4 linked regions of the Oryctolagus cuniculus genome follow. The protein of the gene in region 3 interacts with the protein of the main gene of each other region in a pairwise test. Links are inferred from orthologs where the notes say so. Each region holds a gene or a part of one and is shown on either strand. Other genes may lie near its edges.

Region 1 (6,973 bases), on a different chromosome or scaffold from region 3:
GCGGAGCCATCTGGGTGGCGCCTGAGGTTCGCTCAGGAACCAGAGGCGGGCGGCGTGGTGGTGCAGGAGCAGCCCCACTCCTCCTTGGAGGTGCTGGTTCCAGTCGCAGCCGCTCAGCCGCCACTCCAGCTTCCTGATGCACAACCCGGAAAGCAGACGATGGCTCCAGGGCAAGTTCCTGTTCCTCCCACGGGAGACCCGCCAGGGAGTTTCCGCTTGCTGCCCTTGGCCTGGCCAGCCCTGGCTGTTGGGGCATTCGGGGAGTGGACAAGCAGATGGAAGCTCTTTGCCTCTCAAATAGCTTAAAAACAAAACAACAACAACAAAAAAACAAGAACGAACAAAAAACCCAAACTAGATGAGAACACTTGCAGAAATTCCTTGGATTTCTTTTTCATGTCTGTCTGGTCTACTGTAGGCAGAGCTTCGTGTGGTCCAACAGGCCTCACCCTGAGCAGCCTGCGGGGAGGCACGTCTCAGGCCGAGCTGCTGGGAGCCCCTTCCTCCCAGGTGTCCGTCCTCTCCTTCAACAGAGAGGAAGTGCAGAACCAACAGCCGAGCTCTCTGTCGCTCTACGCCGGCTTCTTGAGGGTGGCCTGCGGCTTGTCCACACCAGCAGCACCAAGGACTCCTCCCTGCACCTCAACCAAACTGTCCTGAGTCTGCACTGTTAACTAGCTTTCCCAAAATCTTTTTTTTAAAGATTTATTTACTTGAAAAGGCAGAGTTACAGAGGACAGCGAGAGGTCTTCCATCTGCGCGTTCACTCCCCAAATGGCTGCAACGGCAGGAGATGGGCCAATCCGAAGCCAGGAGCCAGGAGCTTTTTCTGGGTCTGCTACACGGGTGCAGGGGCCCAAGCACTTGGGCCATCTTCCACTGCTTCCTGGGCCATCAGCAGGGAGCTGGATAGAACTGGAGCAGCCCAGTTGGGATGCCGGCGTGGCAGGTGGAGGCTCAACCCACCACGCCACAGTGACAGGGCTGGCATCACTCCCGAGAGGCCCCGACTGCCTGACCTTACACCTTACGCAGTTTCCAAATTTTTACATAAAATGAAGCAAGGGGGAGCAAAAAGAAGCAGAATGAAGAATTCATTGTACGTTTATTATTCACAGTTAATCACTACCTACCAAGTGCCACCCGCAGAGTTACAGGATTACGTACATAGGTCTTTTTAGTTAAACACGGATTTGTTTTTAAATATATACACACAAAACTTAGTTCAGCAAGGCTTCATGATATACACCAACTCCAAAATAAAACAATCAGACGGTCCAGGTGTGGACGCCAGGTGTTCCTTTGATCAGCAACGCGGGAGGGAGGGCGGGAGCAGTCGGACGGGAGCCAGGAGAGGCGTGAACATGCTCTGTCCACAGGAGCAGCGGCCTCCAGGCCTCCGGGACCCGCAGGCTGAGTCTGTTTCCACACCACAGTCTGGGGAGATGCCACTGAAGGGTCACAGAGGCCCAAGGCCACCAGCACTCCCAGGGAGGGAAAGCAGCAGCCTCGTCCGTGTCCTGGGGAGGAAAAGCCCACGAGCCCAAACGACAAGGGACGGAGAGCTGACACGGAGAGCTTAGAGGGGCTCCAGCCTCTGTCTTCCCAGCGCCCCCCCCCCCCCCCCCCGGGTGGGGATGGTGCTGGGGGCCGGCCTGCTGCGAACGGGACAAGGAACAGTGTGTCCCAGCTTTTGCACACTGCCCTGCTGCTCACCTGGACAGGTGAGGGGACACAAAAGGTGAGAGCCATGACCTAATGTCAGGAGCAAGAAAAACACAAATACTCTCCTTCTGCAACCTAACGCAGGCCCACAGTCCCACCTGCCGCAGCTCAAGAACAGCAGCCTAACAGCACTTCCTCCACTGGCTCTCCTGTGTCTGAGACTTGCTGGCTCCAGGGGTCTGAGCGGGGGTCTCTGGGGTCGGCAGGGTAGACAATACCCGGACCACAAGGCAAGGACTCAGATCCAGCCAGACGCCGTAGAGCTGCAGCCGGCCCTTCCCCGGCACACCAGGGCCGGCGGCTCCCTCAGACCCTGGCCTTCTGGCTTGGTACGGGTAGAACGCCCCCCTCCCCGCCTTCCGCTGTCTCCTCCCTCTACCCTGCTTTCCCCTCCCCTGAGGGAAAAGGATTTACAGAGAGTGGGAGACGAACCGGCTGGAAGGCCAATTTGGACTGTCTTTAATTTATCTGAAAACAAAACAAGTAAGACACATCCCTCCTAAGCAACCCGGGACATGGGGAAAGGCACCATGGGAAACAGCAATGCTCAGGGACGCCGCTCCCACGTGGAGCCAGCGACGGAGGCTTTCAGTCCGACTTTCTCAGGAAGCCGAGGGGCAGGTGACACGCCTCCCTCCCACCCCCGACAGAACAGCCCCAGGCTGGGCCCGCGGACGCCACCCTGACCCGGCAGAAGCTGCCCGCCTGCTCCTTTCTGTGTGCACGCACGGAGAACACAGCAGTAGTTGTTCCAACTAAACAGACATTTTGCATAGAGAAGATACCAGCGCACGTGGTTTCTTTTCTTTTATTATTGGCATCAGCTAGGACTATACGTGGCCTTACACGTCATGCACTGAAGAACGGGAGAAAAAGGACGAGAAAAAGGACAAAGGCGGGGCAAAGGAGCAGCGGTGAAAATCTGTAATAAAAACTCTTTTCTTAATAGGTAAGTTTTGGCATTTTTATATCCAATGCCCCCTCCCACCCCCCGAAGTTCCAACCCAGGTCAGAGAGTCACGGGCGTGAGGTGACCCAGCCAGGTGTCCGGGCTCCTGCAAGGCTGCTGGGAGAGGCAGCCCGGGGCTGTCATTCTTTCGTGTTTTCAACTTTTCACGGCTTTAAATAACCTCCCCTTGATTCTTAGACATTCCGGTTCACGGGGGTGACGTAATTGCGGGGGAACATGCCGGTCTGCCCGTGGCAAGCCCCCTTCCACCAGTTGGGGTCAGAGTTATCCATGACATGGATGAAATCTCCCCGGCGGAACCCCAGCTCTCCGTCCTCCTGGGGGTCAAAGTCAAAGAGGGCCTGGACGTACGTCGGCTGCTGCAAAAGAGGAGCAGGGAAAACACGCGTGTGACACCCCGAGCCTGGAGTCCTTCCTGCGCTGGGCACCCACGCTCGGGGGCTGCACTCCCCAGGGCGTGTCAGCAGCATAGTCAGCACCCCTGGGAGTCTGGGCTCCTGCACAGCCCAGGATCCAACACCTCTGAGCTCCTGTCGCTGCCAACACCCTCGAGGGTTTGCAGTCAAAACATCTGGATGAGCTTGAAAACATAAGGTGGTGGACTCAGCTGGGCCGCCAGGGACAGGCGCACAGGTGCGAGCACAGGCCCCAACCCTCCCTACAGGACACCCCTCACAGTTTTCTTCCCGGGACAGAATAGCTGACAGACAGGTGGTGAGCGAGCCACACACCTGACTGCAAACCGCAGGCCTCTGTGTGAGCTAAGGGTGATGTCCTGAGCACGGGGGCTGGAAGTGACCCTCTGAAAGGCACCTGCTCCTAACCGCTGGAGGTGAGCCCGACTCTGCCCCAGCCTTACCTGCGGCACCTGCTCTATGTCCCGCAGGAATATCTGCTGGTTTCTGGAGACAGACGTCGACCTGTGGTAATCCACCAGCTCATTCAAGGAGTTGAACTTCACCACCCAGAGGAAATACTTCCCCGCTCCGTCTCGGAGCACCTTGAAGTGCTGCACGTCATTTCCAAACCTGGGGGTGGGGCAGAGAACACAGCACGTGGGTCAAAGGGCTCTGGCCTGGCCCATGAGGCCCTCTGCCAAACAGGAGGGGTCCAGAGAAAGCCACTGTCTGGCAACGCTCCTCACAGCCTGCGGGCCGGTTGGCTACACGCCACTGAGCCTGGCTGGAGAGGGTGGGACGGCCGCTGAGCGTGCCGAGACCCTCACCGTGACTGACGGTCACCCGCAACAACACAAAGAGCCCTCACGGGACAGGCCAGGCCCCACTCGGTCTAATTCTACAGGCATTTATGGGATGGAGAATGAGGCCGGCGCTGCAGCACACTGCGCAGAGGCGCTGCCCGTGGCACCAGCATCCCATGCGGGTGTCAGTTCAAGCCCCAGATGCTCCATTTCTGACCCAGCTCCCTGCTAATGCAACTGGGAAAGCAGCAGAAGATGGTCCGATATCTGGGGCCCCTGCCGCCGTGTGGGAGACCTGGAAGAGGATCCTGGCTTCAGACCCGCCTAGTCCTCGTCATTGCGGCCATGTGGGGAGGTAACCAGAGCATGGAAGACCCCCCCCACCCGCCGCCGCCCCTACCGCTCTCTGTCTTTATCTCCTCTGTCTCTGCAACTCTGCCCTTCATGTAAATTACCTTTAAAAAAAAAAGGAATGTCCCAACCCATGCTGTGCCCTGCACTGTACCAACTACATCAGCCTCACTTAAGACAAGGAATATACCTTAATTAACTACGCTTCAAGCAAAAATAATTAAAATCTCAAAGGTGGGATAGAAAATAAGGTGAGGAAGCAGATACGCTCAACAAAGCTCCAGGTACCAGAAATACTCCAGTCATTTCCCACTTGGGGATTTGAGTTCTACTCACGGGATAAAGGCCGTGGGGGGAAAAAGGATGTACTGGGACAGCAAAAGAGGCCCAGGCACCAAAGTCCCCACACCCTCCATCGCCAGAAAATCCACTCCCCTTAATGCTGGCCAGCAACACAGAGCTGCCAGTGACACCTGCTGTCCCGTTCCCTGCTGAATCCTCCAAGGACTCAGTGAGCACGTGTTCCTCAAAGCCCTCCTTTGGGTCGGTATTGCGCCATAACAGGTAAAGCCCTCGCCTGCAATGCTGGCATTCCATACGAGCGACGGTCAAGTCTGGATGCTAATGGCGTAGGAAAAGCAGCAGACGAAGGCCCCAGTGCTTGGGTCCCTGCCACCCACGTGGCAGACTGGGAGGAAGCTCCCGGTTTCAGCCTGGCTTAGTGCTGGCCATTGCAGCCGATTTCTCTTTTTCTCTGCAACTCTTTCAAATAAGTAAATAGATAATTTTAACGTCAAAGGCCCTCCTTCAGTATTAAAGCCTAAAGAAGCCAACACTTTCCAAAAACAGCCAGCAGGTGGCAGGACTGGGCTTCAAGGAAGCCGGAGTGCAGGATACCAAGTGGGGTTGGGGGAAGACAATCCAGTGGCCCTGGCATTCCCTCCCCCACTATCCATAGTGTGGTTTGTGTGTGTGTGTGTGTGTGCTGCGGGGGGTTCTAAGACCCCCAGTGGATGCGTGAGACGGTGGATAGTACCAAACTGCATATATACTGCTTTCTCTTGCAAACACCACACACACACACACACACACACTTCTATGATAAAGTTAAATTAGTAAGTTAGGTATAGTAAACTAACAATACACAAGACAATTGTAACAACCAACAACCACAAAAAAATAAAAGTCATTTAAAATCTGAACTGTTTGTTCCTGGAATGTCCCGATCAGTATTTTTAGACCACAGTCACTTGTGGACCGTGAAGCCGCGGATGGGGGTGGCTGCTGTACTGCTTTCTCACACACCCACACACAACACACAACACACACACACACGGGGGAGAGAGGAGGGGGAGGGGTGTGTGTGGGGGGGTGCAGTGCTAGTGAGAGGGCTTCTGGAAGAAGGGCCTGTCCTGCACCTCTGGCCCTGGGGACTCGCTGGCGGTGGACGCGGTCAGTTTCTTAGGTGCGTAAGGTCCCGGGTGAGCACTCTGCCAACTACAAGGGCTCGAATCACTGACTCAAAACATCTTAAAAACCAGAGAAACACTGCTGAGGCTGTTGATTCTTGAGCCTCCTTGGTGACACATTTTCTGTTGTCACAGGCAGTCTCACACTTTATTTCTCAGACAATGAATAGAGAATTTGATAAAAGGGAGTGCTGCGGGTTTTGGTGTCTGTGGCAGGAGTGTCCCACACTGAGTGCCCGGAGGTGCTGGCCACCAGCCAATGACCAACTGCTTGTATTCCTAGTCGCACGTTTACTTTATACTCAGTCAGCATAAAACACAAGGGACCGAGATGCACACAGATGATGACCCCACCGCCCTCCCCTCCCCGGGCCACGCTCTGCAGCAGAACTTCACTTGCGATGTTCAATCAAGCCCTTCAAGGAGTCCTTACTGGACAGGCCTTTGGTTAAGAAGCCTGCACAAACATCAGTGTCTGAGCCCCAGCTCTGCTCCGACTCCAGCCTCCTGCTCACGCAGATCCTGGGAGGCAGCGGAGGCGGCTCACTCACAGGAGCCCCTGTCACCCACGTGAGACCTGGATGGAGTCTGGGATCCTGGCTTCAGCTTGGCCCAGCCCCAGCTGTTGCAGGCATTTGGGGAGTGAACCAGAAGGGGGGATCTCTTTTGGTCTCTGTCTTTCAAATAAAATGGAAAACAATCAAACAAACAAATACCCACAATCATGGGTCCTAATTCACATTTTAAAAAAGACACATCTCTATATTTAAATCTGCTGTTAAAAAAAAAATCTATACTTTAACCACACATTAATCTTAAACCAAAATACTAAGTTCTCTTTTAAAGTCTCGTGCTTTATATCATTTGTAAATTATTCTCTTACCCTCATGTTAAAAATAATTTTAGGGGCCAGCGCTGTGGCGAAGCGGGTGAAGTTGCCACCTGCAGTGCCACCATCTCATATGGGCGCCGGGTTGAGGCCCGGCTGCTCCACTTCTGATCCAGCTCTCTGCTGTGGCCTGGGAAAGCAGTACAACATGGCCCAACTCCTTGGGCCTCTGCCCCCATGTGGGAAGACCCAGAGGAAGCTCCTGGCTCCTGGCTTTGGATCAGTGCAGCTCTGGCCATTGCGGCCAATTGATGAGTGAACCAGCGACGGAAGACCCCTCTCTCTCTCCTTCTCTCTGTGTAACTCTTTCAAATAAATAAAATAAATCTTTAAAAATTATAAAAATAACTTTAATGTAATCTATAATA
Region 2 (8,092 bases), on a different chromosome or scaffold from region 3:
TCGGTGGAGTTGGACAGCACAACCCTGTTCGTACACGAATGCGCCATGATCTGGCTCAGGATGCTGACCTAACCACAGCCTGTGCTGTGGACTGCACTCTGTAAAATATGGTCGTTCTTATTAGGGAATGCACAGAGGGCTGCAACGGCCAGCGCTGCGCCCATCCAAAGCCAGGAGCCTCTTCTAGGTCTCCCACACAGGTGCAGGTACCCAAGGACCTGGGCCATCCTCCACTGTTCTCCCAGGCCATAGCAGAGAGTTGGCTAGGAAGTGGGGCAGCTGGGACTAGAACCGGAGCCCATGCCACAGCACTGGCCCCTCATGTGAGGTTTTAAAAGAACTCTTCCCCCTCCCCACCTAATGATGCAACTCGGAATTAGGGGTGAAGGGCAAGGAAGCCAGCAGAGGACCCCGGCTCAGTCCAGACCATAGACAGCTTCTGGTCTCCCAGAACCCTCTCCCCTAGGCCTCAGTTTTCTCTCTTCTATAGCCTGGTCCCCTAAAACCACTAGGTGCTTTGTGGTGGGAAATAGCAGAGACCAAACCAGGGGACTGAAAGCAAAAAGAAACCCCAAATTTGACATTTCCGGGTACTTGTGTTATCCAGAGCCCCGACCACAGTCACCTCTGCCCCCAACCCAACTCTGACACCCTTCACACCTCCACTCATGGGGCAGCTTCTGCCTATCCTGGGAAAAATCCAGAGCTCCTTCCCTCCCCGCTGCACCTCAAAGGGAGGACAGAAAACCAGAGAGCAACAGAGCAACGGGTGGGGGGCAGCAGTCAACGAGTGATAAGGGGCTGTGGGGCCCAACAGACCTAATGAGGAGCGAGGGGAGAGGCCGGCTGGGCACTGCATGCAAGCAGAGGCTGGGGGCACCCCAGGGCTCTGCAGACACGGATTCATGCCCTTTTAGGGCAACCCCTCCAGTTCTGTTTGCTGGCACCTCAATGCTAGCTTTTCGGGACCTGGGCCTCCCACACCCTAGCCAAGCCCAACCCAGCCAGATGTTTGGTAGGTGGGGCTGCCAGCTGGAGCAGCAGGCCCTTGCAGGCCCTGCGGGAGGAGTCGGGAGGGGCGGCTGCCTGGAAGGGCCCAGGCGGGGTTCCCACAATCCCCCTTCCTAGGTGCCCAGATGTGAGTGCTCCGGCCCCAGCTCAGAGGACTTGGAAACCCAAGGACTCTGTTCCCATCCACTTGCAGGGCAAGGCTGGAGGGCACAGGTGCCAGTGGGTTTGAATCTGCCCTTGACAGGCTGCGTGCTACTGGTCAAGTTCACTTTCCCTCTGTGGCCTTTGTTCCTTTGTTTCCCCTTTGTACAATCATCTTCGTGGTCACTTCTAGCTCTACCCCCTGACTCTCATCGCAGGTAAGGACCTTCCCCTGCAAAATCCACTGTGCAGAGCAGGAGGGGAGGAGTGGACTCCTGCGCCCTAGTCCCCAGGGCCCCCCTGTGGAACAACTGGGAAGCAAGGTTTCCCTTAATCCTTCAGGCACCCGCTCAGTTTTCAATTCCTTTCCTTGTGATTCTGCCAACGAAGACGCTTTGACCACACGTGGAAGACGGGGAGAGCCCAGACATTCTAACTTCTGCAGAAAAACTTCACATTTTCTCTGAACTGAAAAGAATGAAACTGGGGGAGGTAGTGGGGTGCAGGAAGGGGGAGTGGAAGCAGGGGATGGAGAGGAAAGGGCAGATCCAAGAGGGATGGGGAGGGCGGAGGCAGATGGGAACTGCCCCAGGCCACCAGATCATGGCCCTGCTGAGCTAAGAGTGGGCAGCCAGGCTGGCCCCTCCTTGAGTGCTGCCAGTACCAGCTGCCAGGCTGAGGGGAGGCCCCAGGGAGAGCGAAACCGGGCAAAGGGGCTGGAAGGCGTCCAGGCCGGCCTTACCCAACCCCTGGGGCCTTGTGTGTGGGGACGCTCGGGGAGGGGCACTGTGAATCCCGCCATGGCTCTAAGGAGGATGTCTCAGCTGTGGCAAGGCCCACAGGCAGCTGTAAGGCTCCAAGGATTTAAAACAGGCCCTCCCCAGATCTCTCTGGAGGTAGGGCCAGCCTCAGATGTGATCCAGTTGGGGTGAATGCCGGGCCCGGTGGGTCCATGGGTCACGGTGGGCTGACTGGCAAACCCCTCCCCTGCTCCCCCCAACCCCCCAGAATTGCATTCACCTGCAGAACTGAAGCAAACCCACTGCCAAGGTTCTTTCCTGGCCAGCCTTGTGGTGGGAGTAGTGGGAGGGAGCGCAGCGGTGAGCTTGGCTTCTCTGGAATCCCCCCTACACAGTCCTTTCCCTCCCTAGGACTTCACGTCTGAGATCACAAAAGCTGTGGCAACCCACATCATCTCTCAGTCTCTCTCTCTCTCAGCCTCTCCACCTCCCATAGGCTCAAAAGATGGCACACGCCAGAGTGGGGAGGCATCTCCAGCTCGCCCGTCCTTCCCTCCTCCCCTTTCACAGATGAGAAAACCGAGGCCTTGGTCTGGGATTTCCAGAGCTTGGGATTTCCCGGCCCTGAGCCTGTCGCCGGCTACAGTCCCGGGACACTCCCGCGAGTCGCAGGCACACGCTGTCTGGGACTCCCTGGGGGTCCCGCCGTCGGGGCAGCCCCCACGTCCGGCGCCACCCCGCCGCGCCGCTGCTGCGCACTCGCCGGGAGCCGGCGGCCGAGGGCGGAGGCTGGGAGGCCGCGCCAGCGGCGGGGAGGGTGTTGGCGAGCGCCCGCGCGCTGTGTTTGGTCTATCGCAGGCAGCTGACCTTTGAGGAGGAAATCGCTGCTCTCGGCTCCTTCCTGTAGTAACAGCCGCCGCCGCCGCCGCCGCCGGGAGCCCGGGCCGCGAGCGAGAGCCGCGGGGCGCACAGCCGGCCCCGCCGCCTCACAGCTCGGCCCCACCAGGTGGGTGCCGCGCGGCGGGGCCCGGGCGCCTCGGAGCCCGACGGCCGCGGGCGGGACGGGGACCGGCCCCCGGCGCCGAAAGCCAGTTTGGGCGCAATGCGTGGTGCTCACGGGGGTCGGGGGTCGAGGGACGAGGGACAAGGAGGAAGGGAGGCGGCCGTCGTCCTCACGCTCGGGGGAGGGGGCGCCGTCGGGCGCGACCAGGGTGATGGCAGAGCGCGGCTGCGGGGCGCCCCGGGAGGGGAGCCTGTGTCGTTCCAGCTCTTTCTGCTCAAGTCCAGCCATGTGCCCCAGGGCGCCAACCGTAGGGTGGCAGCCCAAGCTGCCTCGCCTTGACTTTGGCTTGAAACATCCCCTGCTCCCTGAAATGGGGTGTCTGGGTGCGCGGCTGGTGGGGGGTATTCGTGCAGACCCTGCAGAGGGCGGTGGGCCTCGGCCGTCAAGTTTCTCTTTCAGTTTCCCATGGGGCTAGGGGAGAGGAAGAGGAAGGGCACTTGCCTCTCTCGGGGACCCCCCTCCTCCCGCCCCCAGCCTCATTGGGTTCCTTGTTGGAGAGGAGGGGCAGCCCTCTCCTCCCCACCATCTCTCTTTCCGCACAGGAAAGCCTGCTAGTGGGAGGAGCGGGGCCTGGCCCCGACTGCAGCCCAGGGACAGGTGGGCACGGTAGGGCCAGGGGCAGGCCCGGCCGGCCTCTGTGGAGGAGAAGGCTCTTGAGTGGTCTCCTGGTTCTAGGCGAGCGGCCATGGCGGGCTGGATTCAGGCCCAGCAGCTGCAGGGAGACGCGCTGCGCCAGATGCAGGTGCTCTATGGCCAGCACTTCCCCATCGAGGTCCGGCACTACCTGGCACAGTGGATCGAGAGCCAGCCGTGGTAGGTGCCCCTTGCCCGGGCCTCCCCCTGCGGGGTCCTAACCCCCTGGCTTGGAGATCTCCTCCGTGTGCTTCGGTGCCACGCTGGTCCTCCCTGCCCTCCTCTGTGTGGAAGGGGCGGTGTCCCTGGGAAAGGGGAACAGGGAAACGGGCGTCTGGAGGGGACAGAGGCTGCGTGCAGCCTCCTGTGCCTGTGGAGGTGCGGGCAGCAAGTCTCGTGGGCTCGCGTCACGTGGTGCCTGAGCTCCTGGCTCGAGGAGTTGCCACAGTGGATTTCTGTCCCCCGCCCTGCCCCAAGGGATGCCATCGACCTGGACAGCCCCCAGGACCGAGCCCAGGCCGCCCAGCTCCTGGAGGGCCTGGTGCAAGAGCTGCAGAAGAAGGCGGAGCATCAGGTGGGGGAAGATGGGTTTTTACTGAAGATCAAGCTGGGCCACTACGCCACCCAGCTCCAGGTGGGTGTGAACGCTGGGCCACCTACAGGGAGGAAGCAGAACCCCCCGGGGTTTTTTTCCTGGTCTGGCCACTGACTCACCGCATGACCATGAGCTCCTGGGCAACTTTTCTTCAATTTCCCCCACCCCCTCTTTCTAAGTCAGACCTGCCGGATTCCTTTAACCTTCCAGAAAGTACTGGATGAGGTGGGGGTGGGGGTTTTTGTTCCCGACAGAGGGAGGTGGGCGAGCCAGCATGGTGGACGGATTAAAGCAGGTGGCATGGAGGTAGACTGAGGCAGGATTCTTTTCTTGGAGGAAGGAAGGTTGGGGCACTCTAGAGATGAGTGGCTGCGTGCCCGTTGGGACTCTGCTGAAGCTGGAGTGGGGAGGAGGAGGATGGAAGAGCTGTGTGAAGTGGGGTTTCTCCTTTCCGTGGGGTGGCATGGCGGGGCGGGGGTACAGAGGAAGCGCGGAGTTTGTATGAAGCAGGAAAGGGGTGTGGGTGGTGATCACGGTCAAGCCCTTCTCAACCACAGGCAGCGGGGACCGGGCACCAAAAAGTCCTTCTCCAAGAGGGAGGAGTCGGGAGAAACCCGAGGGGAAGCAAAATAGGAACCGAGGGGCAGGAGTATGGCGGCAAGGCCCTCGGCCTCGTATCGGATGTGTGAGGCTCGAGTCACCTGCCCCTGAACTCGTTCGCCTCTGGACAAGCACGTGACCTCTCTGGGCATCCGTGTTCCCCTGGGCGACGCAGGGATAAGGGGTTTCCACGCTGGGAGAGTGGAAGTGCTGTGTGGACGGCGGGCGTTGAGTTCACTGCAGACCCAGTGTGAAGATGGGGGAGGGGCCCTGAGTAACAGAGACAGAGACATCTGATGATGGTTTCTGAGGCTTCCTGGGAGAAGCCCAGGCAGGGGCTGAAGCAGAGGAAGGGTGAGCCTGGCCCGGGGCCGGTATGGCTGGAACTGAGGGCAGATGCTCTTGGATTCTCCCAGAACACGTACGACCGCTGCCCCATGGAGCTGGTCCGCTGCATCCGGCACATTCTGTACAACGAACAGAGGCTGGTCCGGGAAGCCAACAATGTGAGTGTCGCCTGGGGGTGGGGGAGGAGCTGGGGGGTCTTCCCTGTGACTTTCTCCCCAGACCCAACTGTGTTGATATCAAACAGTGGCATAGGACAGCACCGAAGAAATAAGAGGCGCGGGCAAGCACGAGAGGTGGTATTGCATGCCGGTGTGGGGTGGCCACATGGCTCTGCCACTTACCAGCTTACCAGCTGTGTGACTTGAGCAAGTTGCTGTACCTCTCTGAGCCTCCCATTTTTCTATTGTAAAACCGGGGTAATAAAAGTACCTGCTCTATAGGGCTAGTGTGAGGGTTAAGTTAGATACTATGTAGGCCAAGGATAAACACTCCCCCATCCTCCTACACACAATCACCCCCCCCACACACGTATACACACACAAATACATACACCACATACACATATACACCCCCACACATGTATATATCCCCCATGCACATGTATACACACACGAATACATCCCCCATACGCATTACATATATACACCCACGCACATACATACACCCCCACACACAAATACATCCTCCCCATACACACCTCCACCTCCACACATTTATGCACATCCCACACACATACACACACATACATTGTCGCTCCCCCTCTTCGTGGAGGAGCAACACTGAACCCTGCCTAGGCTTCATATCCGAGTCACGGCACCATTATGTCGCTCCCCCTCTTCATGGAGGAGCGACACTGAACCCTGCCTAGGCTTCATATCCGAGTCACGGCACCATTATGTCGCTCCCCCTCTTCGTGGAGGAACGACACAGGACCCTGCGCTGTTCTTTCGTCTGCTCGGCCCTCCCCGGGTTTGCTGCTGGTTCTTCCCGGGTTGGCTACTATCCCTTCCACCTCCGTGGAAGGGCAGTTCCCCCTGGCCACATTCCCCACTTCCGCAGGGGAGCGGCACACCGCCGGCCGGCTCTCTGGGGGCTGCACAGGTGTTCCCCTTAGATGTTCCAGGTGCATGCCGTCTCTCTCCTCCTTTATAGTCCTCCTCCGCCAATCCTAACTCGGCTGCCCACACGCCGAGTACGCTGCTCTCCAATCAGGAGCAAGTCCTACAGTTTATTGGTTGAACTGAAGGCAGCTGGGTAGAAGCTGTTTTCTCCTCTCCCAGCGCCATATTGTAGGAGAGCAGATGCATAGAATAAGTCTTAATTCCAGTAACAGTCTAGTCCGAGCTGCTCCCCACAGAGGAGAGCAGATGCATAGAATAAGTCTTAATTCCAGTAACTTAGTCTAGTCCGAGCTGCTCCCCACAATACATCCCCCACGCAACACACCCCACACACATATACACACATGAATACATCCCCCCACATATAGCCCCCACACGTGTGTACACCCCCACACATGTGTACACAGAAGCTTACACAGTCTCACACTCTTCACATACACGCACACACATACTCACTGAAACCCCATCTGTGTCCGAGGTGCCGTCACAAATCACCAGGGAAAAGGGTTTGGCGTTCACTGAGTGGCTCTGGGTCCTAAATGGGGACTGCAGGCTGGCCGTGTCTGGGAGGACAGCCTGGGTGGCACAGGGGGCAGGCCTGAGGGCGGGGCAGTGCTCATCGCACACTCTGAGAGCAGAGTGTACAGAGGCTTTTTTTTGTTTGTTTGTTTGTTTTAAGATTGATTTATTTGAAAGGCAGAGCCATGGGAAAAGGGTGAGAAAGAGAGCGCTTCCATCCACTGGTTTGCTCCCCAAATGGCTGCAATGGCCAACACCGGGCCAGGCCGAAGCCGGGAGCCAGGAGTTCCACCTGGATCTCCCAACACGGGTGCAGGGCCCCAAGCACCGGGACCATCTTCTGTTACTTTCCCAGGCGCATTAGCAGCGAACTGAGTCGGGAGCGAAGCAGCCAGGACTGGAACCGGCACTCTGATTTGGGATGCAGGCATTGCAGGCAGCAGTGACTCAGCTCCTGCCTGGCCACACCAACCCCTGTGTAATGAAGGCCTGGGACAATGATACAGACATCACTTTGTCTGCAGTAAAGCAAAGTGAGTTTCATGAAGTCACATAACAGGGCTAGAGATCGCAGGACAGTACCTGAAGCACAAGCGCTATTTGCTTGTAAAGAATCAATGGGATAGGGCCAGCGCTGTGGCATAATGGGTAAAGCCGCTGCCTGCAGTGCCGGCAATCCCATGTGGGTGCTGGTTCAAGTCCTGGCTGCTCCACTACCATCCAGCTCTCTGCTATGGCCTGGGAAAGCAGTGGAAGATGGCCCAAGTCCTTGGGTCCCTGCACCTGCATGGGAGACCCAGAAGAAGCTCCTGGCTCCTGGCTTTGGACCAGCGCAGCTCTGGCCATTGCAGCCAATTGGGGAGTGAGCCAGCAGATGGAAAAGACCTCTCTCCCTCTCTCTGCCTCTCCTCCTCTCTCTGTGTAACTCTGACTTTCAAATAAATAAATACATCTTAAAAAAAAGAATCAATGTGTCAGGCATTCTACAATCGCCCGAGGAAACACTTGCTGGTCCAACTGTGTGTCTGAGTCTGGGCTAGGACTGGGGGAAGAGGCAGAGGTGGGGACCCCCAGCCACAGTAGATTCCCCAGAGTGAGCCCAGGTGGGGAAACCCAGCTCGTCCTGGGCAGGCTGGCCGGGGATGTCCTCAGGGAGGGGGTGTCGCACCACTGGGGAGGAAGGAGAAGAGGAGGAGTGATCTTCCCAGCACAGGTGTCAGTGCGCACAAGGGCAGGGGAGCCTCAGACATCCCCCCTGCCACTGCTTGCCGGTTAGTGCACCTGCGGAGGCGGAGAAGGGGGCTGGCGGGGAGTGATGCAG
Region 3 (7,408 bases):
TGGGGAGCAGTAAGATCACTGTCATCACATCCTTTATTCGCCCCATGGACCTATCTTAACAACCTTTCTCACATGAAATCAATGCACCGAGACCTAATTATCAAAATGCTTTTCTCAAACACTGATTTTTAAAACTTAGGCTCCCCAGCTGGGGTCCTATGCAAACCCTGGGAGCAGCGGCCCTGTCCTCACCTCTGGGACATCCTCTGGTGGAACAGCTGCTGGTTCTGGCTGGTCCACCTCCATCTTAGCCTCCACCTTTACTTCCTGTGCAGGCTGCTTCTCAGGGACAGCCTGAGCGTTCACCTCTGCACTGCTCGTGCTGGGAGGGTTTGACGCTTGCCCTTCAATGCTCACAGTCGGCTGGGAAAGCTGGGCAGAAACAGGGAAACAGGACAGATTTGCCAACAACATATTCAGAATAAACCACATACTGGGGGACTAGTGTCATTTCTCTCTGTACACTGCACCTTCCTTAATTATACTTGAGGACTTTTCAATACTGGCCAGCCAGCTGAGACCGAAGCCGCCAGCGATGGTTTCGTTAGTCATCATCAATTCTGGGCAGTGTGTGAGCAGAGGAAATGTCACAGGTGCTTCTCTCCGAGAAGCTCCTATTTAAAGAGACATGGAAACTAAAAGAACATAAGAATGACAAGCTGTCTCGTTTGCTCTTCAATCTGTCCTTGCAGAAAAGCAGAGGACAAATATGCTGAACTCCTCTACAGAGTTGGTACTCTCAATCATTACACTGTGACAGGGTTACTGGCAATCCACATCTATTCCCTGCATCTTCCAGCAAGAAACTACATAGCAAGGCAGTGTTTTCTGGAGCAATCCCATAAATAACAAAATAACTGGGCTTCAGACTCCTCTCTGCAGGCTGCCATTCCTTGTGGATCAGAGGGGCCCACAGCTAGATGTGACTTGGTCTCTCTGTGAACAAACTAAAAGATCAGTTTCGGGGCCAGCACTGTGATTTAGAGTGAGTAAAGCTGCTGCTAGGATGCTGGCATCCCATAGGAGCACCAGTTCGAGACTCCCCTGCTCCCCTTCTGATCCACCTCCCTGCTAATGTGCCTGGACAAGCAGAATATGATCCACGTGCTTGGGCCCCTGCACCCACATGGGAGACCTGAAAGCAGCTCCTGGTTTCTGGCTTTGGCCTGGCTCAGCCCTGGCTGTTACAGCCATATGGAGAGAACCAGCAGATGGAAGATCTCTCTAACATTGCCTTTCAAATAAATAAAATAAATCTCAAAAAAATATATAGCATCAACGATCAAGGTAGAAAGAACATCCTAGCCTGTTAACAATACACAGGTTCAATTTTTAAGGATTCAACTACTAGACAGGAATTTAGATTTTTACTCTACACATAATCAGCCTCTCACAAGGAAGCTGTAGAGATTTAGGTCTGTATTTCTTGTCTCTTTACCATGACTTTGTTAACCTTTGTTAGGGCCAGAGATTCAATCTTTGAGTACTGAACCTTAAAACGTTAGAAAAGGGTTTTTAAATATATGTTAAATTCAGGAGGTACACTAACTGTCACACTAAGGAAGCAAGAGGGGCCTCTTACCTCTTGCTATGCTCTATGCTTTTAGGCCCCAGAATACTACATGGCATACAATAATGAAAGACCTAAACAAAATCTTTGAGTTCCTACTACGTTAAGTACTATCGAAGGCAGTAAGAGTAGGGGGGGCAATGTTCTTAATCAAACATTCCATTCCACTTATGGAGACAACAGTAAGAGATGAATCATGGAATCAAAAATGGCACAAAAGTAACACAATATTACATTAGCGCTGAAACCGTTCCACTGAAATGCAAACCTCCGCTTACCGGAGTGGCGGGCTGCGGAGGCAGCAGTGGCACCGTCGGGGTGGGGACCGAGGCTGCTGTACTCTGCTGAGAGCGGGGCTGCTGGGGCTGGTCGGCTGGAGGAGCAGCAGGGAGCGACGGCTGCACTTGGGGAGGCAGCTGTGTTGTGGGCGGAGTAGGTGTCTGTCTCGGAGGAGGGTGCAGAGCCTGGGGCTGTGGCCCGGCCGGCATGGCAGGAGGTGTAGGGACAGGGGCTGGGATCCCTGCTGCTGGTGGCTGCTGGGCCCCTATGCTTGGAGGAGTGTGGTGAGGGGTCGGGGTACGACTAGGTACAGGAGATGGTGAATTCTGATGCAGAGGGGGTTGTGCCAGAGGGGGACAGTGCATGTGGCTTCCTTGAGATCCTGGAGGCATTATAGGCGAGTTTACTGGGCAGGAAGAACCAGATATTTGTGCCTGTTAAAATGAAGTCATTAAGATGATAATTCAAACAGAATGAAGGAAAATTTACATAGGCAGATAGGCATTTAGGACACAAACTAATTAAATGTAAAATAACAACACAGGGTTAAAACCCTCAAATTTAAATTATGTGTTACTTTTTTAACAAAGCCATTGTTATACACATAATTATCTCTTCATATCCAGAATACCCTAAATCCAAAAGTGTTCATATTTTTAAACATCACCCACTATTTGCTGCCACTCTTCCGGGCAAAAACCTAACAGAAGATTCACAAATCCCCTCCCCCTCCCCCATCCCCATAAGGGCAAAGGTCCCCTTGTGAGACATACTTGAGACACTGGTACTTGACCGCTGGGTGGAGCCAAAGGCATATTTGCTACATTCATTCCCTGTGATGAGAACTGAGACTGTGGAAGAAACTGGCTCTGGCTGGTAGGCGGCTGCATGCGAGGCCCATAGCCCATAGGCTGCAAAAAAACACAAAGTACCAAACTGCTTCATTACGATTCTTCTATCACAATTGGAATCATCCATTAATTTGGCCCTGCTGTCAGGTTGACTGGGCAGAGAAAGAGAAGAAAGGAAAACAGGTAAAGGGAGGGGCAGGGAGAGAGAGGAGAAAAGTGGTGAAGAACTGACTTTTACGCCTAGACCATGGGGATGGTCTCATGTCATGGCTTCTCTAAGTTACAGGAGGATGGGGACACACAGCGCTCTATCTGGAACTAACAGGAAAAGAGCTAGCCATTTCTTTGAACACTCTAAGTTAAGTGAAGGACCAAAGCACAACATCCTGGGCTCTTTGCTCACTGTAAGTGGCATGGCAACAGTAAAAATTTTCAGATTCCATGTGTGGGAAAAGAAAAGTAAAACCCTTACAGGACGTGGCTGAATCTAGCACCATTCATGGCCCACAATTGCTCTTGGATTGTTTCCTTTAACAGATGATGGAAATCTGGATTACCAAAAGCAAAAATCTCAACCAGTTAAAGAAATGCATCTGCCTTATAGATTAACATGAGAACTAGGATTCCTTGCTGAATGTTGCCAGCTGTGAAAAGTATCAATGCTGCAAAACCCTAAAAAGGCTCAAGAAACAGAGGTGCCAGGTAACTAGCAGGACAGGGTGAGGGCTGGGCCAATGTCGGTTAAGAGTCCGGGTATGCTCAGCATCTCCACTTCAGTCTCTAGAACCAGGCAATGGCTCCCCCATTGCTCTTATCAAAGATCCACAGTTCACTGCCTGGAAGAGAAGGTAATTATTATGGAGGAGAGGTAAACTGAAAAAAAGTGGGGAGGCTACTGGACATGCGGACTCCAAAGAGAGGGTACTGGCTGCTTTTTGTCAACTTTCTAATGCTATGATTTTTACAACTATGAATAGTATTTGCTTGGATGTGAGCCTTTTTTAGTGTTTATTTTACACAGACTGACTTGTTTGTAATCAAGACACTCTACTCTTCTTCACATGAACTTCCATCACATTATATCCTCGCACACTGTAACACCCTTTCCTCAGACTGCATCACCAAGTCCCTTAGTAATTATTTCTGTGGGATTTCTAACTATTGTTAAGTGAAAGAGATAAGCAGAAGAGATTTCAGCATTTGTTTCCCATTAGTAATAATTATTCCTGTCACTCCACCTCTTTAACATAATGCAACTATTTAGTCTCATCTCTGAAATACATATAATCATCTATATTAAGGGCAAAATACAACAATTAAAATGTAACAACAAGCTCTTGTATTTTGTGTCTAGGCAAGTATGAGAAGTTTTGTTCTTGAAGCAAAAACAAGAATTTTTAGAAAACCCCTATAAAATCCAAACAGATTACATAAAGAAATCAAACCAACCGGGTTTAGAGCTCCAGGCTGAGCCAACTGTCCATGGTGCTGAAGTGGAGAGGTTTGCCGGGGTCCAATAGGGGGCTGGGGCATACTCATCTGGCCAAATTGATTCAAACCTATGAATACATGCAGAGTATAAAATCTCAGCACCCTTCTGGAGAATAAGAGGCACTATTCCTCTATCTGGTCACCATTTATCAAAACTAGTAACTCATTCTTCCCGGTTATAAAATTTACCAGATGGTGGTGTTATCCGAGGCATCATCTGGTTTGGCACACTGCCGCGGATCATAGTTGGGTCAGGGAGAGGACCATCTAGGGCAGAAAAGAGAAATAAATTAAGGAAGTCCCTGCATTGGCTGCCCTTTACTGGAAAACAAAATATGGGCAGGTGTTTTGTGTAGTAGTTTAGATGCCACTTGGGGAACCGGTGTTGCGGCGTAGTGAGTAAAGCCGCCACCTGTGACACTGACATCCCATATAGGCACTGGTTTGAGATCTGGCTGCTCCACTTCCAATTCAGCTCCCTGCTAATGCACCTGGGAGGGCAGTGGAAGAGGGCCCAAGTGCTTAGACCCCTGTACCTACATGACAGACCTAGACCGAATCTATGCATTTAAGGGAACAAACCAGCATTTACACTCACACCAATAGCACAGTCCATCCAGCGTGAAGTTTCTGCACAGTCTCCAACAACCATTTCATCCTTCAGCCTGAGGATGTGTCTGTTCGATTCTTTCCCTGTATTTCTCCTGTTTGATTCATGTTCTCTCTGCTCTGCCACTTTTCAAGTCATAGATTAAGGTGATCACTAAGGAAGTATGTGAGCCTCTGTTGCACACTGGACCCTAGTCAGCCTACATCCATCTACTGGCTGCTTTCTACACAGACGGTGTTAGAGACAACTAGGGAAAATCTACGTGCAACCCCTTCCTACGTGTCACTATCAGGCATGTCTACAGTGGGCTGTGTAAGTAGTGCTTACTCTTTAAGGCAGAGGATGACCTGTTTTCTTTGCAAAGACAAAAGGCCTTTCAAAAACCCTATTAACAGTTAACACAACTTTGTACAAATTGATGGATTTGGTTAGAAATCACTTCATTATCAATTTCTCCCCAACATAAATATAACAAAAAGCACTTACTAGAAGTCATTCCTGGTTGTGGCTGTCCCATGTTAGGCCCTGGATTCATAGAAACTGGCACCATGCCTGCATTTGGAAGCATGTTCTGTTTCTGTAATCTAGTCCTTCGTTTTTCTTCTAATTCTTTTTGTATCTTATAGATCTTCTCAGCTAGAAGGTGGTAGTATTCCGCCTTTTTGGATTTTTGAAATAACAGATAAGGACAAAACATGAATTACCACCAGAAAACAGAAAAACTAAATCAAAGGCAGATATTAGTTTCATTTAAACAATAGGTAGAAACTAAAAATGGGAAGAAATTAATCCATTTTCCAAATATGAGCTCATATTTATAGAATAATCAAGTGATCATCAGTTTTACTAGGAACCTACACATTAAAATGAGACCTCTTTCAAAGCAGGTTTTATAAAACATATGTTGTCAATTTACAGAACATGGAAAGAACATGTTACATTTTGAAGTAATGCCAATTTAGAAAAGAAAGTTAAAATGATGTACAGAAACTAAAATATTCTTTATGTACTATATTCGAGTGAAAACAGCACCGGGCTGGTAACAACAGCTCTGCTACTTTCTGATTTGACGGAAGGACAACCCAGATGAAGTGCCATAGAACTGCACTGAAGTAAGGGGAAAAACCCAAGGTTTTTGATAACAATCACCTAAGAAACTGCTAACTATACGCAGAGACAGTGAGAGAGGACAGCTGGAAAATGCTGCTTACATGTGCTAGGGATGAAGAGTAACCATGAGGGGTAATTAAGTATCTAAAGCAGACCCATTCCTGACCATCAACATGTAAAGAACAACCAGATGCTCACTCGATTATTTGCAGATTCGTACATGTCCCCTTCTACCTTCCGAGCATATGCCACCAGGTTTTCCATCCGTCTGTCCTTTAAAGCAGCAGGATCCGGAGTGGGAAATATGGCTTGAACTCTAGGAATGGAAAATGCAACCACTGTAATACAATGCCAGCTTCACATTCAATCATAGAAATGTATACTACTTTAAACGATTTCTCAATTAGTGTTTTCCCAATTCTACACACTGGATACAATGAGTACAAGAAAAGTAACAGAGGGTGACAAGTCAACACCAAAAATGAAAACTGTCTTCTTGTGATAAAGGATTTTCCTGATCACAATCTAAAAAGTAACTCCATGAAGATATTCTTTGGTCCCTGTTACTCTAGATGTATAGAAAAAATTATTCTGTGCTACATAAATTTATTCAACTTTTAAAAGTAACAACTAAGCCTCCAAAAATTTTCTTAAAGACTTATTTTACTTACTGGAAAACAGAACGACAAAAACAGAGGGAGAGACAGAAGTCTTCCATTCTCTGGTACACACACCAAAGGGCCACAAATAGGACTGTGCCAGGCTGAAGCCAGGCGCTCCATCCGGGTCTCCCACATAGGTGGCAGGGACCCAAGTACTTGAAGCGTCTCCGCTGCTTTCCAAGGCGCATTAGCAGGGAACTGAATAGGAAGCAGAGAAGCCAGCAGCTGGGACCTGAATCAGTATTCTGATTGGCGATGTCAGTGTTGCAGGTGGCAGCTTAACCCATTGCACCACAATGCTGCCACCCAAAATTGTAAAGAACAATAACTTGAAGCAAAGGGACTAGAAATGCCTCTCTGGCCATACCACCTTAAACGTATCCACTCTTCTGATCTCAGAAGCTAAGCAGGGTTGGGCCTGGTTAGTACTTAGAAGAAATCATGATTTTGCTAGATTCAAGGTTAACAGTCTAACAACTTCTATAATTTGCAACAATGACAAATGTGAGAGAAGGCATTTAGAATAGTGCAGATAACTCATGTCCACCACAGGCGTTATCAGGGTTTCACATACAGCTTCTTGCCAATACTGGCCCTAGGAGCCAGTGGTGATGGCTCGGGTAATTAGGATCCTGTCACCCCTGTGATGGGCTAGAATTCATGTTCACAGTTCCTGGCTCTGACCCTAAGCCCAGCTCTGTCCCTGTGAACTCTGGGGAGTAAATCGGCAGTGGAGTCAGGAGTCAGGAGCCAGGTGCTTCTCTTGGTCTCCCATGCGGGTGCAGGGCCCAAACACTTGGGCCATCCTCCCCTGCACTCCCGGGCCACAGCAGAG
Region 4 (8,189 bases), about 3.5 Mb from region 3:
TGGAGGTGACAGGGACCCATGTGCTGGAGCCGTCACTGCCGCTTCCCAGGCGTGCGCGAGCAGAAAGCGGGACTGGAAGTGGAGGTGCGACTGGAAGCCAGCGGCTGTGATGGGGGTGCGGATGTCCAGCAGCCGCTTCCCTGCCAGCGGTGAAGAGGCCCGCACCGCCTGTCAGGACGCTCCGGGCAAGCCTCGCTCTGGCTCCTGATCCCAATGTCCTGCTATTCAAGCCCTGGGCAGCAGTGGTGCCTGCTCAGGCGATTGACTGGGTTCCTGCCACCTGACTGGAGACCTGGGCTGAGTTCCCAGCTCAGCCTGGGCCACTGTGGGCATCTGGGGAGTTATCAGTGGATGAACGCTCTCGCTGTCCCTCTGTCTCTGCCTCTTGAATAAATAGAATTAAAAAAAAAAAAAGAAACAACATTTTATTTCTCGCTCTCTCTCTCTCTTTTTTTTTTTTTTTTTTTTTTGACAGGCAGAGTGGACAGTGAGAGAGAGAGACAGAGAGAAAGGTCTTCCTTTTTGCCGTTGGTTCACCCTCCAATGGCCGCTGCGGCTGGCGCACCACACTGATCCGAAGCCAGGAGCCAGGTACTTATCCTGGTCTCCCATGGGGTGCAGGGCCCAAGCACCTGGGCCATCCTCCATTGCCTTCCTGGGTCACAGCAGAGAGCTGGCGTGGAAGAGGGGCAACCAGGACAGAATCCGGCGCCCCGACCGGGACTAGAACCCGGTGTGCCGGCGCTGCAAGGCGGAGGATTAGCCTACTGAGCTGCGGCGCCGGCCAACGACATTTTATTTCAACAGATCCTCAGGCCATCTCGTTGGAAGTCTATTTAATGCATAATATTTGCCAAACTTAGTTACCAATAAAATCGTTTCTACCGCAACCACCGCTTTCCCAACACCATTGCAATGGCGGCCCCAGTGGTGCCCAGTGGGGACACCTGCCCAGGCCTCAGAAGAACCGCTCTTGCCCCAAGGAAGCCACAGAAGCTGGAGGTGTGGGAGCCCTGTCGCTAAGGGACGGGGGTAAGCTGCCAGCTACAAAAGCAGGGCAAGTGGGGCAGAAGTGACCAAGACACACCCTCCCCCGGCGAGGCGGACCCAGGGTGGAAAGCCGGGCCCACGAGGAGCCCCAAGGCAGGGCAGCACTCAGCCATGGCTCCACGCGCAGGTCTGAGTGCAGGCAGATTCACCAAGCCCGGACTTCAGCAGACGCCCTGCGGAGGAGGGGCAGACGGTGGCATGGGGACACAGGCAAAATGTGCCACCACCAAATCCTCACGTTCAAAACCAACTGGAAGCACTCGGCACGGTTTGGGTGCGATTGGCGGGGGACTCGACAAGTTTTGGGTATGTCTGAGGGCAAGAGTGTGAAAGGTCACAGAATGGCCAGGGCGGAGGAACCGGGCGGGTGGACCTGGCTGGGCGAGGGAGGCAGGCGATGGAGCAGGTCTGCGTCCCCACGACACCTGCAGCGTGTGCAGGAACTCCATTTTCTGGGGGAGAAAATAACGGTTTGAGGAAGTGCACGGAGGCCTCCCGCCGGGCTGGAACAGCAAAGGGGCTAAAACCCAGAGCTCGCCACTCACGTCCTAACAATGCCTAGCCCCAAACTGCCTCCTCTTGCCCACACCAGACCTTTCTTTTTTTTTATTTTTTATTTTTTTGACTGGCAGAGTGGACAGTGAGAGAGAGAGACAGAGAGAAAGGTCTTCCTTTTTCCGTTGGTTCACCCTCCAGTGGCTGCTGTGGCCAGCGCACTGCGGCTGGTGCACCGCGCTGATCCAAAGCCAGGAGCCAGGTGCTTCCTCCTGGTCTCCCATGGGGTGCAGGGCCCAAGCACCTGGGCCATCCTCCACTGCACTCCCGGGCCACAGCAGAGAGCTGGACTGGAAGAGGGGCAACCGGGACAGAATCCGGCGCCCCGACCGGGACTAGAACCCAGTGTGCCGGCGCCGCAGGTGGAGGATTAGCCTAGTGAGCTGCGGTGCTGGCCCCCACACCAGACCTTTCAAAGACCTCATCCTATACCATCCAATCAAATGCAGCTCAACTACCAAGATCACCACACCAGGGCACCCCCGGCCAGCGCAAGGGCTGCACGAGCTCCTCTTCCAAGTCCCAGAACGTGGCCACACGTGGGGCAGAAGTAGAGGACACACTGCCAGCCTGGGGGACTGCCTGTTGGCCATGGAACAGACTGGATTATCCAGCGCACGGCGCAGCTCAGGGCAGGCCAACGACTCTGACACGTGGAGGAGACAAGTTCTTTCCGATCCGCCACCTCTGCTACTTAGTCCTCACTTCAAGCCTTCCTCTCACCAAACTGGAAAATCAGATTCTGAGCTGGGGTTTCCCCAGCCACGCGGCCTGCAAGGTGACCTCGCTCCCCTACGTAACTAATAAGGCTGAAGGGACAGATGCCATGCCTTGTGAAACACTGACTCCATCCCAAGCCACGGAAACCAGAAAGCGCAACAGAGACCCTCACATTCCAAGAGAGCAGCCTCAGGCCACTTGCACTAACTGCAGGGCCACACCCTTAGCATGCCGTGAAGCTAAGACCCCAGCCACCTGGAAGCGAAGCCACGCATCCCATTTGCCATGAAGAATTTCCCCACTCACACACAGTCTATGAAAGGCAAAAGAGAAAAATTGGCATGTTCAAACTTTGTTTTCAACAAAGAAACATTGTGATTAATGTGTTTTTAAAAGGATTATTATAAATCCATGTATATATATATGTATGTATACACACACACGTATACATATACATATATATAAAACACAGGCGCTTACGGGCAGCAGGCAAGAGAAAGGGCCCAGGTCACCAACCGCCAACCCAACGCACAAAGCAGCCCTGCCAAAATGTCCCCTCCCTGCCCACCTGCCCCTCACCCTGACCAAGGGTGACAATCTGTGAGCTTTTGTCTATACTCTAGTATGGAACCCAGTTTCACCAGAGGTCCGCGGGGGTCTCGTTCAACACTGGGCACAGTAGCCCACAGCAGCCACTCCGGAAGTAGCTATATGATGAGCCGATTTTAAAAGTCTGTGGAAAGCGGAATTAAAAGTTCACTTTACAAAAAGAAAAGTCTGAAATCTGTGCATATGAAAGGCTTTCCAAGAGTGCGTGGAAAATGCCCATTATGAGCAAACCACGCACACGTTTCACATCTTCTCAGTTTCGGCTTTCCACAAACTTTCTGAAGTAGCCTTGTCTCTACAGGGACCGGCTAAATAATTATTGTATCTAAATGTAATGGAGTATTAGACAAATGCAGGCGCATTTCATTCACCTGGAAGCTGCGTCCGGGGATGAAGCAGCCACAAAGTATTTGCCAAGAAACACAGTTTCTCCTTGTCTCTCACACCTTGTCTCTCACACGCACGCACGCAAGGGGCTGCTTTATGATGCTGGTGGACCTTGGTCAGGCGTGTCAGACTTGAGCAAACAGAAAACCTCCTCCTCCACCGTCAGTTCCCGTGCTTCTGCTCCCAGTCCTGGAGACCGCTGCGGGTGGGCAGCGACCACGCACACCCTCCCACACCGGGCCTGCGGCTCTGGAGCTGACCCCGACCCCCAGGTCACCTGCAGTCTCCCCACACGACAACAGCCCTTCCCCAGCGCCCGCTGAGTAGCACTGCTTCTCAGAGTCACCGCATCTCCCTATGAATCACAGGAAAGCAGCCAGCCAAACCCACATCAGAACTCCCCAACTCAGAACCCAGAAGCAAACCTATCCCGGGGTCTCCTGGGACACAGGGAAAAGACATGAAAGCTTTGCATCACAAAGAAACCATTAACCCCCAAACTTACTGCAGTGGAAACAGACCCTTCCATACCTCACCCTGGAGACTGAAATCAAACTCTGTTTACCTTCGGTGACACCGCCTTGCTTCTGAGCTTGTCACTTCTCCCAGAGGCAGGGCCCGGGACTCCAGCCCTGGCTGAGGAGGGACAGGACGAGACGGTTACAATGTGTTCCCTGGATGCCCCCCAGCCTCCGGCCCTTGCAAGGGGAAAGTCACGGTGACCCTGCCTTCGCCCAGGGTCGTTCTCAGTGAAGCCCCGTGCTCCTCCTCCCTACCAGCCAGCAGCCCTGCGAGCGGGGGCGGGGCGGGGGGCGCCCTGATTCCCTTGGGAATGGGGGTGGCAGGGGTCGCGGTGCCTGTGCAGACCCAGCCGGCCGAGAGCGCTCCACCTACTGCCCAGTCCTGGAGTTTTCTTAGAAAGAACCCTGACATTTGGGGCACATCTCTTCAACTTTTTTTTAAACAGGGGTTTGGGTAACGTGGGGGCGTGCCATGGTCCCCCCACCAACCAGGGTGGGCGCTGGGTAGAGCCGACCCCCCCTTCCCAACCTTGCACCCGCTCCAGCGGGCCAGGCCGGACCGGTCCCGAGGAGCCGCGGGAGGCCGGGGACAGGAAAGACACCTCGCAGCCCAGCGGAACCTGCCGGGGAACCCGCGGCTGCCCACGGCGCCCGGCGCACAGGGGCCCAGGCGCGCGACAGCAACCGCGCGCGCGTGTCCCCGTCGGGCTGCAGGACGGCGCGCACCGGCGCCGAGAGTCTGTCCGGGACACGAGTTACCTAGCCTCGGGGGTCCCTGGGGGTCTCGAAAACGCCCCCAGCTCTGTGACACTCGAACTCCACAGCGCACCGACGTCCCCGCCGCGGGCCTGGCCTCCCAGGGGACACCGAAGGACCCAGCGTCAGGAGGTCTCCGGCTCCGCCGACAGCCTCGGGCGCTTGGAGGGGCACCGAGCGAGAGCGGCCCCTGGTCCCGGGACCCTACTCGGGTCCCCGGCGAGTGCCCTCGCCCCGCGCCCCCGGGCCATGCGCATGCGCCGCCCGGCCCCTCCCGTCCGCGTCCGCCGCCCTCTCGGCCCGGGGCAGCAGAGGCCCGGCCCGGCCCGCGCCGCGGACCCCGCTCGCGCCGCCCACCCCCGGCACCTGGGCCCGCGGTCCGCCGCCTGCTGGTCCGCGGGGCGAGCGCCGAGGGAGGCGGCGCCAGGCCGGGCGCTAGCGGCCGCCTCCGCCCCGCCGCCCCTTGCCCGCGCCGTGGGGCCGCCGCGTCCCGGCCCTGCCCGGCGCCGCCTCCGCCCGCCCGTGCCAGCCGCGCCCCGCCCGCGCCACGCGCCGCCCCTCGGCGCGCCCCGCCCGGTCCGGCCGCGCGGGACCGACCCGGAAGCCCCGCCCCGGGCCCCGGCCGCGGCCCCGCGCGGGACGCACCCACCGGACGGCGGCGCCCGATTGGCCGCCGGCGGGGGCGGGGCCGGGACAGCCCTCGCGACTCCCACTGCGCGCCCCGCAGCCGCGGAGCTGGGGGAAACTGAGGCCCGGGAGGCAAAGGGACTGCCCAAGGTCGCCCCGCGGATGGCTGGCGTGGGGGGCGGGGAAGGGGAGGCGAGGGTCCCGCCGGGCGCCCGTGCCGCGCTGGCGAGGCCCTGAGCGCTCGCGGAACTCGGCTCCGCACGGCGCGACGAGGGGGTCTTGGCCAGGGCCCGGGGACCGGTGCCTAGGGTCTCGGGAGTCCGTGGGGTGCGGGGCGGGAGGACGGGGAAGGGCGTTCCGAGAGCCCCAGGACGCGTCAGCAGGTGGCGGAGGTGCCAGGCCGTGGGCACGAGTGTGAAGGGCAACGGGGACAGGGCGGGGAGGCGCCGCCAGCTCCGACCCCCGCCCCGGCTGCCGGTTCCCTGGGGGTGAGAGAGGACTTTGTGCCCAGCGAGGCGCGCGGGCCCTGCCAGCGCACTGGGAGGTCGCGGCCCCGCAGCCAGTGGCGAGGCTGAGGGGACAGCGCGCAGAGCCGCTCCGGGTGCGCAGCGCCCGGCGCCCCTTGCCGCGGGAACGAAACTTGTGCAATGTCCGCCCAGCGCCGCGGCGGCGGGCTCCCGGGGTGACCTCGTAAGTGAGCGGGCGCGGCTTCCACCCAGGTCACCGCGCCGCGCAGGGGCTGCAGACCCTGGCCTTGGGGCCATTTCGCAAGCTTCTTGGAAAGTCACTCCTGTCGGTTAGCTGGGACTGCTGTGAACTCTGCCCCACCCCCTGGACACCCACGCTCGATCGGGCCTGCCCAACTCTACCTGCGCACGCCGGCCAGCAAATGCCAGTCTGTGCGCCTTCCAGAGCCGGGCTGAACACAGACCCTGGTAGCTCCCCGGTGGACCCAAGCTGTGTTGGTTACCCAGCAGCAGGTGGGCTTCCTGCCCTCGGTGGGCCACATCCTGGCCGCGTGGGTGTTTCCTGGCTCACCCCAGGGCGCAGAGTCTCAAGACAGGGGTGTGTGTGTGTGTGTGTGTGTGTCCTGGTGGTCGCCCTGCACCCAGTGCCACCAAGTGGTGGGAGAGACCTGGCAAGAATTATGGATGCCTGCAAAGGACATACGGGCTTCAATCTCCCAGGTGCGCACTCCACAGATGTAGAAAGTGATATTCTTGGGTTCTCGGGGTTCCCAAAGCTTTAGGAGAGAAAACTTGTTTGTGAACCATGCGTTGGGAGATGTCACTTCTCTTATTAAGATTTATTTTATTTATTTGAAAGAGTTGCAGAGAGCTCAAGATAGATATCTTCCATCCACTGGTTGACTCCCTAAATGGCCGCAACATCAGAGGCTGGGCCGAAGCCAGGAGTCGGGGGCTTTCTCCGGGTCTCCCACATGGGTGCAGGAGCCCAAGCAGTTGGGCCATCTTCACTGCCTTCCCAGGCGCATTAGCAGGGAGCTGGATTGGAAGTGGAGCAACCAGGATTCGAACCGGCGCCCATATGGGATGCCAGCACTTTGGTGGTAGATATGCCACTTTTGAACCAAGGCTCTCGGCCAACCTCCGCCGGCGTCCTGAAGGTAGAGGGAAGCTGGGGACTTTTCTCGTGGAGTGTCCCGGCCAGACAAAGCTCTGGCCCTGCTTCCTGCGGGGGTCACTTCCGGGATGCCCCCACCCCCTTCAGAATCAGCCTTTTGTGTGCAGCCAGGAGCTTGTCACTTGTCACACCCCCAGCATGGGGGTGACCTGTCACACAGGGCAGCGCTGCGGCCCGAGCCCCTGGAGTCGGCCCGTCCCTCTGTCTTTGCCTCCACCAGCGTTGACCGGACGTGGACAGCACATAACGCCGCCCGCGTGGGGACTGAGTACAAATCTACAGCATCGGGGGCAACCAGTGCTTTGGAGAATGTCTCTGGGCACCGCCCAGGCTCCTCTCTGGAGGGCTCGGGGTGCGTGACTCCGACTTCATGGCTTCCATGCCGTCTCGGGTCCCTTGCCACGTCTCCCACTCTGAAGATGTCCCCAGAGGTGGGTTTTAACCTGCTCACGTTACAGTAAGGAGACTGTCGAGAGAGAGGCCCCAGCTGACCGGTCCTGTGGGCCAGCTTCAGGCCCCGGGACAGAAGGCAGGTCTGAGAGGCCCTCAGCTGCCCTGCTGAGACGCTCCTGCACCCCAGAGCTGCCCACCCAGCCAGAGCAGCTGTGGGCTCCGGGAGAGAAGCAGGAAGTTGGGCCATGCAGACGAGGAGCGGGGAGCTGCAGTGATGGGGCCTGCTGCTCCGTACCAGCAGCAGGTGGAGTGAGGCGTCCGAGTTCAGAGAGAGCGCGAGGGCTCCATCTGCTCGAGTGAAGTGTGCCCCGCGGGCCAGGGGTCCTGGCTGCCGGCTGATTACCCTGTCACTTAGGTAAGCACTTTTCCAGGAACTGCCCCGGGCCTCCGAGGGTCACTGGATTGCCCTTTGCTGATCTGCAGAGCCTCCTGTCCAGTTGGAGTTTGTGCAGCCAGTGTCATGGGTCGGGGCAGTGGCCTCTGGTCACTTGGAAGTGTGCCCTCAGGTCGGGGTGGGGGGTCTCCTAACAGTGACCAGTAGGTGCTTGGTGGCTGGGCCTGGACTCAGCCGCCGGCCTAGTACTGATGGAAACCTCCCGGGGCCAGGTGGCCAGTGATCATCCCGTTAAGGCTTGGACCTCAGCTGGGTTTGCCTCCGTCTTGCAGGAGAGGAAACCAGTGTCCAGGATGGACAACACCTCACAAGGGGACAGAGAACTCCGTCTACAGTGCCTGCCCCTGGGGCGCCTGTGCATGGCTCAGCCTCTGGCAGAACCAGAGTCCCACGGCGAGGCAGCATGTGCAGAAGCTGTAGCAGGAGGCAGGGTGGACTGGCGGGGTGGACTGGCAGGGTGGACTGGCAGGGTG

Evidence for each region.
Region 1: the proteins of EP300 (region 3) and GRB2 interact in a two-hybrid assay, tested with the Homo sapiens proteins (2 studies listed by BioGRID and IntAct). The link is inferred for Oryctolagus cuniculus from reciprocal best matches to the Homo sapiens genes EP300 and GRB2.
Region 2: the proteins of EP300 (region 3) and signal transducer and activator of transcription 5A interact in a two-hybrid assay, tested with the Homo sapiens proteins (2 studies listed by BioGRID and IntAct). The link is inferred for Oryctolagus cuniculus from reciprocal best matches to the Homo sapiens genes EP300 and STAT5A.
Region 4: the proteins of EP300 (region 3) and PPARA interact in a two-hybrid assay, tested with the Homo sapiens proteins (3 studies listed by BioGRID). The link is inferred for Oryctolagus cuniculus from reciprocal best matches to the Homo sapiens genes EP300 and PPARA.

The regions. Positions count from the first base shown.
Region 1 is NC_091448.1:5,228,775-5,235,747, reverse strand, and holds the end of GRB2 (growth factor receptor-bound protein 2), read right to left. Parts: intron 3,724-6,973; coding exon 3,555-3,723; intron 3,055-3,554; coding exon 2,869-3,054; 3' UTR 2,520-2,868; downstream 1-2,519. UniProt on the Homo sapiens protein: Non-enzymatic adapter protein that plays a pivotal role in precisely regulated signaling cascades from cell surface receptors to cellular responses, including signaling transduction and gene expression.
Region 2 is NC_091448.1:20,519,533-20,527,624, reverse strand, and holds the start of signal transducer and activator of transcription 5A, read left to right. Parts: upstream 1-2,800; 5' UTR 2,801-2,898; intron 2,899-3,630; 5' UTR 3,631-3,640; coding exon 3,641-3,768; intron 3,769-4,065; coding exon 4,066-4,222; intron 4,223-5,199; coding exon 5,200-5,289; intron 5,290-8,092. UniProt on the Homo sapiens protein: Carries out a dual function: signal transduction and activation of transcription. Mediates cellular responses to the cytokine KITLG/SCF and other growth factors. Mediates cellular responses to ERBB4.
Region 3 is NC_091442.1:117,217,525-117,224,932, reverse strand, and holds part of EP300 (histone acetyltransferase p300), read right to left. Parts: intron 6,228-7,408; coding exon 6,110-6,227; intron 5,460-6,109; coding exon 5,288-5,459; intron 4,459-5,287; coding exon 4,381-4,458; intron 4,260-4,380; coding exon 4,150-4,259; intron 2,761-4,149; coding exon 2,623-2,760; intron 2,284-2,622; coding exon 1,849-2,283; intron 373-1,848; coding exon 193-372; intron 1-192. UniProt on the Homo sapiens protein: Functions as a histone acetyltransferase and regulates transcription via chromatin remodeling. Acetylates all four core histones in nucleosomes. Histone acetylation gives an epigenetic tag for transcriptional activation.
Region 4 is NC_091442.1:120,673,577-120,681,765, reverse strand, and holds the start of PPARA (peroxisome proliferator-activated receptor alpha), read right to left. Parts: upstream 5,120-8,189; 5' UTR 4,965-5,119; intron 4,957-4,964; exon of another isoform or gene 4,602-4,956; intron 3,958-4,601; 5' UTR 3,887-3,957; exon of another isoform or gene 3,853-3,886; intron 1-3,852. UniProt on the Homo sapiens protein: Ligand-activated transcription factor. Key regulator of lipid metabolism. Activated by the endogenous ligand 1-palmitoyl-2-oleoyl-sn-glycerol-3-phosphocholine (16:0/18:1-GPC). Activated by oleylethanolamide, a naturally occurring lipid that regulates satiety.